Schizosaccharomyces pombe: one gene and its partner. The protein of the gene in region 1 interacts with the protein of each later gene in a biochemical or structural test. Each region holds a gene or a part of one and is shown on either strand. Other genes may lie near its edges.

Region 1 (5,082 bases):
GCATGCTGCTATGCTTACGATTCAAAAGGATAAAGTGATTTGTAAGTTTCCTGCACTTTTTCTTTTAATAAAGAAATTGAAGAAGATGGGTCAAACAGAATCATAAATTGATTATCTTGTTCACCATCTTTGATTATATGAAGCCTTAATGTAGTTCTCATTTCGAATATTCAGCAAATTTCTTTATTTGATTCTTACGGAGAAGTGGATCCGGCAAACTAGTTATAATGGAATTAATCAGTATTAAAAAGACGTTAAAACAAAGTAAGTTATTTAAAATGGAATGCCCATTTCTTGACACCAATGGGTATCCAAAGTTGGTTGCTCTAAGGAAGTGCGTAAAGTTCTATTCGCAATTTACTCGGCATGACAGCAGGAAGGGTGGGACAGCAGTGATGAACAAGTTAAAGGTGTAAAATAATGCTAAATGTCAAGAAATAAAAACTCATTACTCATTCCTACGACTCGAGCATATTGACACGTATCTTAAGGTTTTATGGTCCTTCCAAATCTAACGAAACATATTGGCTTAATATATCTTCCTTTCAATTGCGTGAATTAACATTTGAATACAAGTAAATAAACTATCATAGATTAAAAGAACGACAGATGTATTAGTCAGAATTAAAGAATATTCAACAGAAAAGTAGTTTGACGTCTCAGAATAATTTCTATAGGTTGTAAATTAGCTTAAAGCAATTAATTGGCAGAAAAATTAAATGATAGGAGTTATCTATTAGTAAATTGTTAATTCTCCATATGTAAATCCGGATCGAGGAACATTATTGTTTGACCATTGTTTGTAGTTAAAAGAACACCAAGGTCTGTATATTCCTGTATTGTATTTATTAAATGATCTTCAGTAAAACCCTTAGCAAGTACGCGTTCACGAATAGCACGTAGTGTAAGTGAGCGTTCATTGCCTTCAACATCTGGTATGCTATTAAGCATGTCTCGAATAATTTTATATATTTTCGAGGTAATAGTAGTATCGTGAGAACTAGGATCCAAATCATCGTATAGTGATGACTTTGAAACAGACATTAATCTCAAAGCTTCATCAACATCGCCAATCTCCACTCTATTACTGAAACGCAAACGAGCTAATGCTTGTCCCATTCGCAAAATAGCGAGAAGTGTACGTGGAGTAGTGTGAGCGAATTGACGCTCATTGGCTTCATCACGCTTTTGGTTTTGTCGAAGTTGAACATAAGCACCAGTAACATAGTCGCATACATCCTTTGGTACGACTGGGCGATATTGTCTAGCAGAAGAAATATAATGCCTAATCATGTTTGGATCTAATGGTTCAAAGTCCATTTTAGGTTGTTCGTTATGCATGTGAACATATGTTACGTGTTGTGCCAAATGCTCGTCTGTTTCACGAGAAGGAGTATCTAAAATTAAAAATAAAATATCAAACCGGGAAAGCAGTGCAGCTGGAAGATTTATATTGTGGATTGGTGCCACTTTCGGATTATATCGTCCATATAAGGGGTTCGCAGCGGCCAAAATACTTGTTCGAGCATTTAAAGTCGTAGTGATTCCTGCCTTTGAAATTGAAATAGTTTGCTGTTCCATTACTTCATGAATTGCTGTACGGTCACTTTCATCCATCTTATCAAATTCGTCAATGCAGCAAATACCGTTGTCAGCAAGTACTAAGGCACCTCCCTCTAAAACCATTTCATCCGTCACTGGATCACGCATTACAGCAGCAGTTAAACCAACACCTGAAGATCCACGACCTGTGGTGTATACTCCTCTCGGGGCAACCTTCGAAATATACTTTAATAATTGAGATTTTGCGACACCAGGATCACCAGTTAAACAAATATTTATGTCACCACGAATTCTCATTCCATCCCCTAACTCTTTAGTAACACCTCCGACAAGCAACAGAAGTAAAGCTTTTTTAACATCTTCATGTCCATATATCTCGGGAGCAATGGACTTGGCCAGTTTTTCGTACACATTGCCTCCTTGATTTAATTCAGCGATAGCAGCCTCCGATTGAGGAGTTTTTTCAATATTTGTGTAATTTTTAATGATTTGTGAAACATAATGGCATTCTAAGTAAGTATCGGTTAAGAGCCCGGCGCGCATTGCTCGAAAACCAGTATACGGAGTCGGCAAAAATATACCAGAAATATCAACGATATCGCCAGGATTTACAGAGCGAGTGATAGCACCATATAAGTGGACGGTTAATGATCTAGGGATATGGCCAATAGGTACTTGGTTCGTTAATTCTTGTATTTTTACTTCCTGAAAAGGAAGAAATTTACTGGCTCTTGTGCTCATGAAAAGCTGACCTTTTGCATCATTCTTTTTACATTCATCCGAAGGACATTCAGACATTGGAAGGAATGTCTTCTGACGGATTTCTTGAAACACTTCATACCCACATCGATCACATGTATAAGCATTTACAGTTAAGCTAGGCTTAACATCACTTGTACGAGTAACTATACCACGGACAGTCAAAAGAGATCCCAAGTTTTCGCCTCTTAAATCACGAACGCTGAATGGTTTTTTGTTGCGAGTTACTGGTCGAAAGTATAAGTCATAACCTCGGGTTAATTCAGGAGGAAATCCTTTATGCTCAGGGTCTATATTTTCATTCCTTTGAACACGTTGCTGCATAATTACATCAAGTACTTCGTTGCGATAATTAATTTCCACAGTAGGAGGAGGCATCAACGCATCTGCGCACTGCGAAAAAAGTTCAACAAACCGTTTAGCATTAGATTCAATATTATGCAAAAGCTGAGTATCACTTGGATCGAACTCGTACAAATCATTCAAATCAACATTAATAACATTTGACTCTCGATTGGAGATTTTTTGTAGTATATCCATATACTTTGATTTTAAAAAAGGCTCATCACCTGCATCCGACATCGAAATATCCTGATTTTGTTGTCCATCTTGAACCTGTTCCTGCTTGAAGTGGGATAGAAAATCCGTAATTTTATGTTGACATTCTTCATACTCTGGGATTTTTAAATCTATGGTGGGAAGTGCCATGCTTTTCAAACCAAAAAAGTATCCCAAAACTTTTCTGCTGAATTAGCAAAAAATATAAAGGTTCAAAAAGAAAGCAAGGGTATTAAGTAAGGGTAAGATACCAAGAAAGGTTCTTCTTTAGGTTGTTTTAGTTAGTTGGTAGTATGAATCAACGCGAACTCGTAAGGTAACAAAAATGTAAATATTGTAACTTAGGGCATATACAAATTGTCATTGACTCTAAAGAAATTGCAGTGTATAATTTTTTTGATTCTCTACATATTTCCTTTTTAATTTATTACTCTCGCAGCAAAAGTAAACATTCAGTTTGATTTTAAAAGCCACTATGTAGTACTGTTAGAAATTTTTTTTGGAGAGTATTCACTATGTATAAATAAACAGTTTATTTGTTTTAAATTAATAATAATCATTTTGCCAGACAATAAATTGGTCATTTTATTTTCATAAATGTATGTCTAATTGTTTTCATTGCTTCAATCGATTGTTATTTTAGCTATCCATAATTTTTCCTATTTTTCTTCTACACGTTTTGTATTTCTAAACATGAGAGTTATTTAGACTACTGCCTAAAATTTATTTCACTTTTATTTTTAAAAATTTTTTTGAAAACTTATGAAGTAAGTTAGCAGGGAAATTCTCAAAAGAAATGCGATATCAACAATATAAAAACTTCGAGTAGGGAACTTTTTATTTTTTGTTCGGTTATTTCAAACATCAGTGAAGAATGAATATAGAAAATTCTTTATTGTTTTATACCACATTGTAAACTGTACCTAAAAGCACAACACGCAATAGAAACGTGCTATTGGAATGCTTATTTATTTTCTGTTTACAATAGACGAATATAAGTATTTCTTTTTTTTTTTACGAAAGGATCAAGGTATTAAAATTATTCACAGTATGTGGCTAGGTCTCTGTCGCGCTTATCTTTTTTTAATTAAGCAATGTCTTTATGTACGGTCGCGTCGCATTAGAAGTTTCGTGATTTGTAATATTTGAGCAGTTATAAAGCGCTCTACATCTCGGATGAAAAGGAGATTGTGAAGAGATATTTATTTCTAACATCATATCGTACTACTAGGCTGATATCATTGCGTTTCATCTACAACATAAATTGAGGTACCCTGACGCGTCTTAAGTATTACACTGAAAACTACTTTATTAAATTATAACAAAAAGTGAGAAATTTAATAATTTATTTATTACATAAAGTAATAAATTCATTTCTATTTTTTCAATTATTTGAGCCTAAATAATTGAATTTATTCGACTCCACGCTTAGCATCGAATTCTTCGATTTAAGCTATCACATTTTTCTATTAACTAGCTACAATTTCCTGCTTTAAGAAACCGTTATTATAACACACCAGAAGGGAAAGGAAGTAAGCCCTTGCTTTTCCCATTTAATTTGAGATTGTCTTCGAATTTATTTCATTTTTTTTACTCGTTGCGTTTGTCTCCAAATATTAATTAGTACATTGTTTTTTTTCAACGTTATTCATCTCCATCAGCCTTTGACTTAGTTTAACTGCAATTTTCCACTCTGTAAAATAAGGCAGCATTTTGTCTATTTTGCCTTCACTCTTATTCATTGTGTTATCATACCCAAAGTGCGACAAATTAACATCCACAAAAAAAACGGTGGTGTTGAATATACTACAATACTGTGCACTACATTGGATAACCTACCTTTGAAAGTTTTGCCATTAACCACAACACATCTTGGGAAGCCACATCGCAAGAGATAATCGCGGTGGAAGAAAACTTTTGTACTTATTCTATATACAGATAAATCCGGTCAGTTTGGACGAAATCTCATTATTAATCTTACAAAATGGGCCTTGAGCATCTCGAAGAATTCAGTTATCCTAAGGAACATGGTGAAGAAGTCGAGTATGATAGCGAACAAGGTGTTCGTAAAATTTATGTTAAATCTATTAAAGAAACCTTTAACTTTGATAATGTAAGTGAAGAAGAGAAACAGGAAGGAGGCGACTACTACTTGGGCAAAAAGGAAGATGAGCTTGATGAAGTTGTGCTTCGCCCTAATCC
Region 2 (4,534 bases), on another chromosome or scaffold:
TGTTGCGCCTCTGCTGTTTGGAATGGCGCATATTCATCATACCTATGAATTTCTACTTGCCTATCCGAATGCATATATAGCTGCCGCTCTTCAAACTGTTGTTCAGTTTTCATACACCACAGTTTTTGGATGGTATACAACACATCTATTCCTTTCCACGCATAGCTTATTTCCTTCATTTTTAGTACATGCTTTTTGTAATTCAATGGGGCTGCCAACTTTGTACGGAAAAATTGGAAACAGAAATCAGACTAGGATTTATTACACGTTACTATTGTTAGGGGTTTTGATATTTTATATGACTTGGGGTATTACTGATTTTAATAATCATCAAGACTTTGAACCAAGACTGGTGCCATTAAACTAAATAATAAAAGACTCCGGCTTCATCTGTGACTTAGCAAGGCGACATACTAAACCACTTAACTGCAACAAGGTTTGCACACCCTCTAAAATAATCATATGAGTTTGGCCAATTTCCTTAAGCATTTCTAATCTTGAAAATTCCGGAATACTGTCCATTGTCTTTACTACTCTAAACATATTAGTGACAATGTCCACAGCACTGAACCCCAAATCCCATATTCCCTGAAGTTTTTCAAGGGCGACGTCGATGTTTCCAGATTGACAAGCAGTTAGCATGGCATGTATCGCTACAGGTGAAGGCTGATCGGCGACCCGGAAAACGTTTTCACCGTTCACAAGACCGAATCCAGCAACAGTGCTCTGTAGATTGTTCACTGCTTGACGCATATCACCTTCTGCTGTCATGATAAGGGCAGCCAAACCATCATCTGTATAATTGACTTTTTCCGCTTTACATATATTCAATAAACGCTGTAAAACCTGTTGATCCGTAAGACGTGAGTATCGGAGAATTGCACACCGCGATTGAATAGGTTCAATAATTTTGTTGGATTGATTGCAAGCAAGTGCAAAACGCGTTGTATTACTGTAGATTTCCATAGTTCTACGCAAAGCTTGTTGAGCTCCAGCCGTCATACTATCTGCTTCGTCTAAAATAATGATCTTATGCCTTCCAGGTGGCAGTATGACTTTTTTCTGTGCGAATGCTTTAATTCTATTTCTCACTACATCGATACCTCGTTCATCTGAAGCATTTAATTCTAATACACCTTCCTTATATGCTGGGCCAAGTAATGCATGTGCTAAACAAAGAATAGACGTCGTTTTTCCGATACCAGGCATTCCCTATAAATATAAGTCAGCATGTAGTATAAATAATAATTAAAAAAAAATAGGTTACCGAAATAACTAGATGAGGCATATTCCCTTCCTTGGCAATAACTTTAAGTCGGTCAATCGTCTCCTCGTTACCAACAATGTCATCCAGGACGATTGGACGATACTTTTCGACCCTATAAGTTTATAGATCAGCATACTATATTATATTGAACCTTTAAATTATGAAAAGATGCCTGAGTCACCAAGAAGCAATCGTAATAGCTGAACACTAAAACCTTCATAAAGGACGTTTTAATTGCTCATAATATATACATACCATGGCAGCTCATAAGCTACAGAGTTATTTTTCTCTCCAAATACTGATGATGATACTGCATTACTCATATTCAGTGTTATTGAACTAGTAACATCAGTACTGAGTTCCAGTGAACTAGTAAATTTGTTGAGTATTTTAACCACTGCATGGTAGTCACTTCACCCATCGCGAATAGAAAAGAGCATTAATATGTAAATCTGAAAATTTTTTTTATTCTTAAATGCACTATCAAAGCTAGCTTTAAAATATATGTTTGTACAATCGACACAAATGATGAAAACAAGCACATCAATATATTTATATTATTACAAAAACGATCAATAATCTGTAAAATTCTAATATTTTTCTCTTTTAAGAGTAGTAATAAGCAATAGATAACTCTTTAAATTCACGCCTTCTGTTTCTTAATAAATTAAGCTTCTTATTAAGCGAATTTATACAGCAATTAGTACATCGTTAGGTATATGCAACGCCATAGAAAAGGGTACTTAAAGTCAATCCGCTCACGTGAAATGAACATTGCACATTGCAATATCAACATCTTTTATCATTACTGGTTTCAATAGGTTTAAAGGATAAAATTATATATTTATAATATGGTAATTGCTTTATCTGATTCTTTTATCGAAAATCCAAGATCGTTTCTTCAAAGATTTCAGGATGCATTGTTTGCAGGATCTAAGCCCGATTTACAAGGCACTTTAGGCATCGATGAAGAAGTTTCTAATATTTTCGCTACAGAGGAAAGAATAAGAAAGGTTTGTTAAGTGGTTTTTTCTCTTATTTGACACTGAATATTTAGATTCCAAACTATCTTGACTGCAAATGGTCTGAGTTAAAGACTGGTCAACTACTTCGTCTTCAAGGTATGGTGCAAGACACCAATTTTGGGCATGAATTTTTTGCTGGAGCTGTAGAGGTAAATGAAAACATTTGGAGAGGCTGTAGATACATACTTGATTTCAGCGAAGATGAAATGCATTTAGATGAATCTAAAATTGTCCTAGATGAAAGATATTCACTGTTTCTGACAAATGTTCCTGGAGAAAGAACTCTTCCTGTTATAGAAGCTTTGGGAAACTGGGGAAGCGAGAGTCTGAAAGAACGGTCATTGAAGTACTCAAACCGCTTACAAGCAAGTAATGATACCGGCGTTTGTGTTAAATGCTATGGCGGAATGGAAACTAAAGTTCAAGTTTGTCAAGCAATCGATGTTATTGGAATTTATGAAGAACCAAGTGAATACTCGGATGGTTTACCCATTTTACACATGTTATGTTTTAAGGATTATACGCAATCAGCTACTCAAGCCCCTTCTCCTCAGCAAGCTGAGATCATTCGACCAAAAATATTAAAATATTTTGAAAAAGTCCTTGGTGAAAATATAGCTGCGGAAAGTCTTATGCTTGCTCTTCTTTCCAACGTTGTTCATAAAACCACTGGTTTGGTTATAGGTGGTTTTACTTTAAATTTAACAAATTGCACCTCTGAATTAGTGTCCCAGTTAGTTTCTGTGTTACGGCCTTTGATAAAAAGAATGGTGATTCAAAAAGTTAATGTCGCCGAGCTTAACAGGAAGCCGCTTTATCCCTTGAGTGATGGAGAGACATTAGATACTAGCCATTTGCAAGTGGCTCCTGGCACCCTTATAGTTCTTGATGAAACTGAACTATCGAGTGGAACCTTAAACGATGTCGGATGCCGTAACGTTCAGTTTTTGTCTTCCCTAATATCTCAACAGGATTTAACATTTTTTTATCCTTTCAGTTCTTTTACCGTTCACAGTAATGTTCGAATAATTATATTAAGCCATGGAAGATCTATTTTGCCAGCTGATGTCGGTTGTAGATGTAGAGGCGATTCTCCGGACACTATTGAATTTCCAACTGATTCGGATGAGCTGCAAGAGTTTTGTAATTTTTTTCACATGTGGAACATGCGTGCTAATATTCCCGAAAACATGCTGGATTATATTCAATCTACATATGTGAGCTCCCGTCAATATAATAAAGAAATCAATGAAAAAACACTTTCATTACAGATCAATTGCTCTCGTCTCTACGCGAAGAGTTTCGGTCGTCAACTGGTTTCAAGAATTGATTTTGAGGCTGCCCGTAGTCTAATCAATCATTGGACTGTCAACTGATTGATCGCATATTTTCTTATAATCAACATCATTTAACCAATGTTAGAAATTACTTTTCATGTCTTTTTGGAATTTCCAAGTTAATTTCCTCATTCATTCGATCAAATTCATCAAAAGTTCATTTATATTGTTATTTAATTATTACTACAAGTAAAGCTCACTTGCCCGTTTTTTTTTTGTTTTCTTACATTATCACATACCGCACTGCCATATACTTCCTTATCTTCAAATATTAAATTCAAGTTTTGCCAACCAGGCGTTTGCAGAGATTCAAGGAATAAATATAATTCATTGTATTTTTAGCTAAAATTTGATTTCTTTGTCTTTCAAATACCTATACGGAAGCAGTCATTGCATATAACATATGTGTAAATCGACGGTTTAGGCAAGCAGTCTAAAAACTCAATGAACCAGGCGAACTTTTTACAGGAGCTTCCAGTAAGCCCAATAATAAGATATTTACAAGTTAACTAACAAAATGAATGTTTAGAATGTACTAAAGCGACTGGAAACTGGTCTTATTATACCTCAACTGAAAGATATACTTCGTGTTTTTGGACTTCGTCTTTCAGGAACAAAAGCTGAGCTCATTACCAGAATTAAACAACTAATAGAGAGGATAGCTATAGAAAACAACACAACCTCTTGGGAAGCATTGAAAAAGGCAATCGATGGCGATGTTACAAGTGCCGTATGTATCTTAAAGTACAACACATATCAGATATATAGTGCTGCTGCTCCAATTGCTCCACCTAGTTCAGCTTCTGGAAATAGATCATACAGCCGTCCTTTCGCCCCAGTTGTTCATTCGCGAATACGATTTCGAAAAAGTCCCTTTTATGACATTTTGGAACAATTCAATGCAC

What was found.
Region 2: the proteins of mcm7 (region 1) and mcb1 form a complex in vitro, tested with the Schizosaccharomyces pombe proteins (one study listed by BioGRID).

Annotation. Positions count from the first base shown.
Region 1 is NC_003423.3:3,716,891-3,721,972, forward strand, and holds mcm7 (MCM complex subunit Mcm7), read right to left. Parts: upstream 3,150-5,082; 5' UTR 3,031-3,149; coding exon 748-3,030; 3' UTR 687-747; downstream 1-686. Other genes in the region: nucleolar protein Dnt1, read right to left, coding at 19-161; ribonucleotide reductase small subunit Suc22, read left to right, coding at 4,865-5,082. UniProt on the Schizosaccharomyces pombe protein: Acts as a component of the MCM2-7 complex (MCM complex) which is the replicative helicase essential for 'once per cell cycle' DNA replication initiation and elongation in eukaryotic cells.
Region 2 is NC_003424.3:904,766-909,299, forward strand, and holds mcb1 (mini-chromosome maintenance complex-binding protein mcb1), read left to right. Parts: upstream 1-2,031; 5' UTR 2,032-2,118; coding exon 2,119-2,280; exon of another isoform or gene 2,281-2,324; coding exon 2,325-3,668; 3' UTR 3,669-4,034; downstream 4,035-4,534. Other genes in the region: rce1 (CAAX prenyl protease), read left to right, coding at 1-367; DNA replication factor C complex subunit Rfc4, read right to left, coding at 364-1,212, 1,268-1,379, 1,523-1,590; SUMO E3 ligase Pli1, read left to right, coding at 4,074-4,106, 4,159-4,534.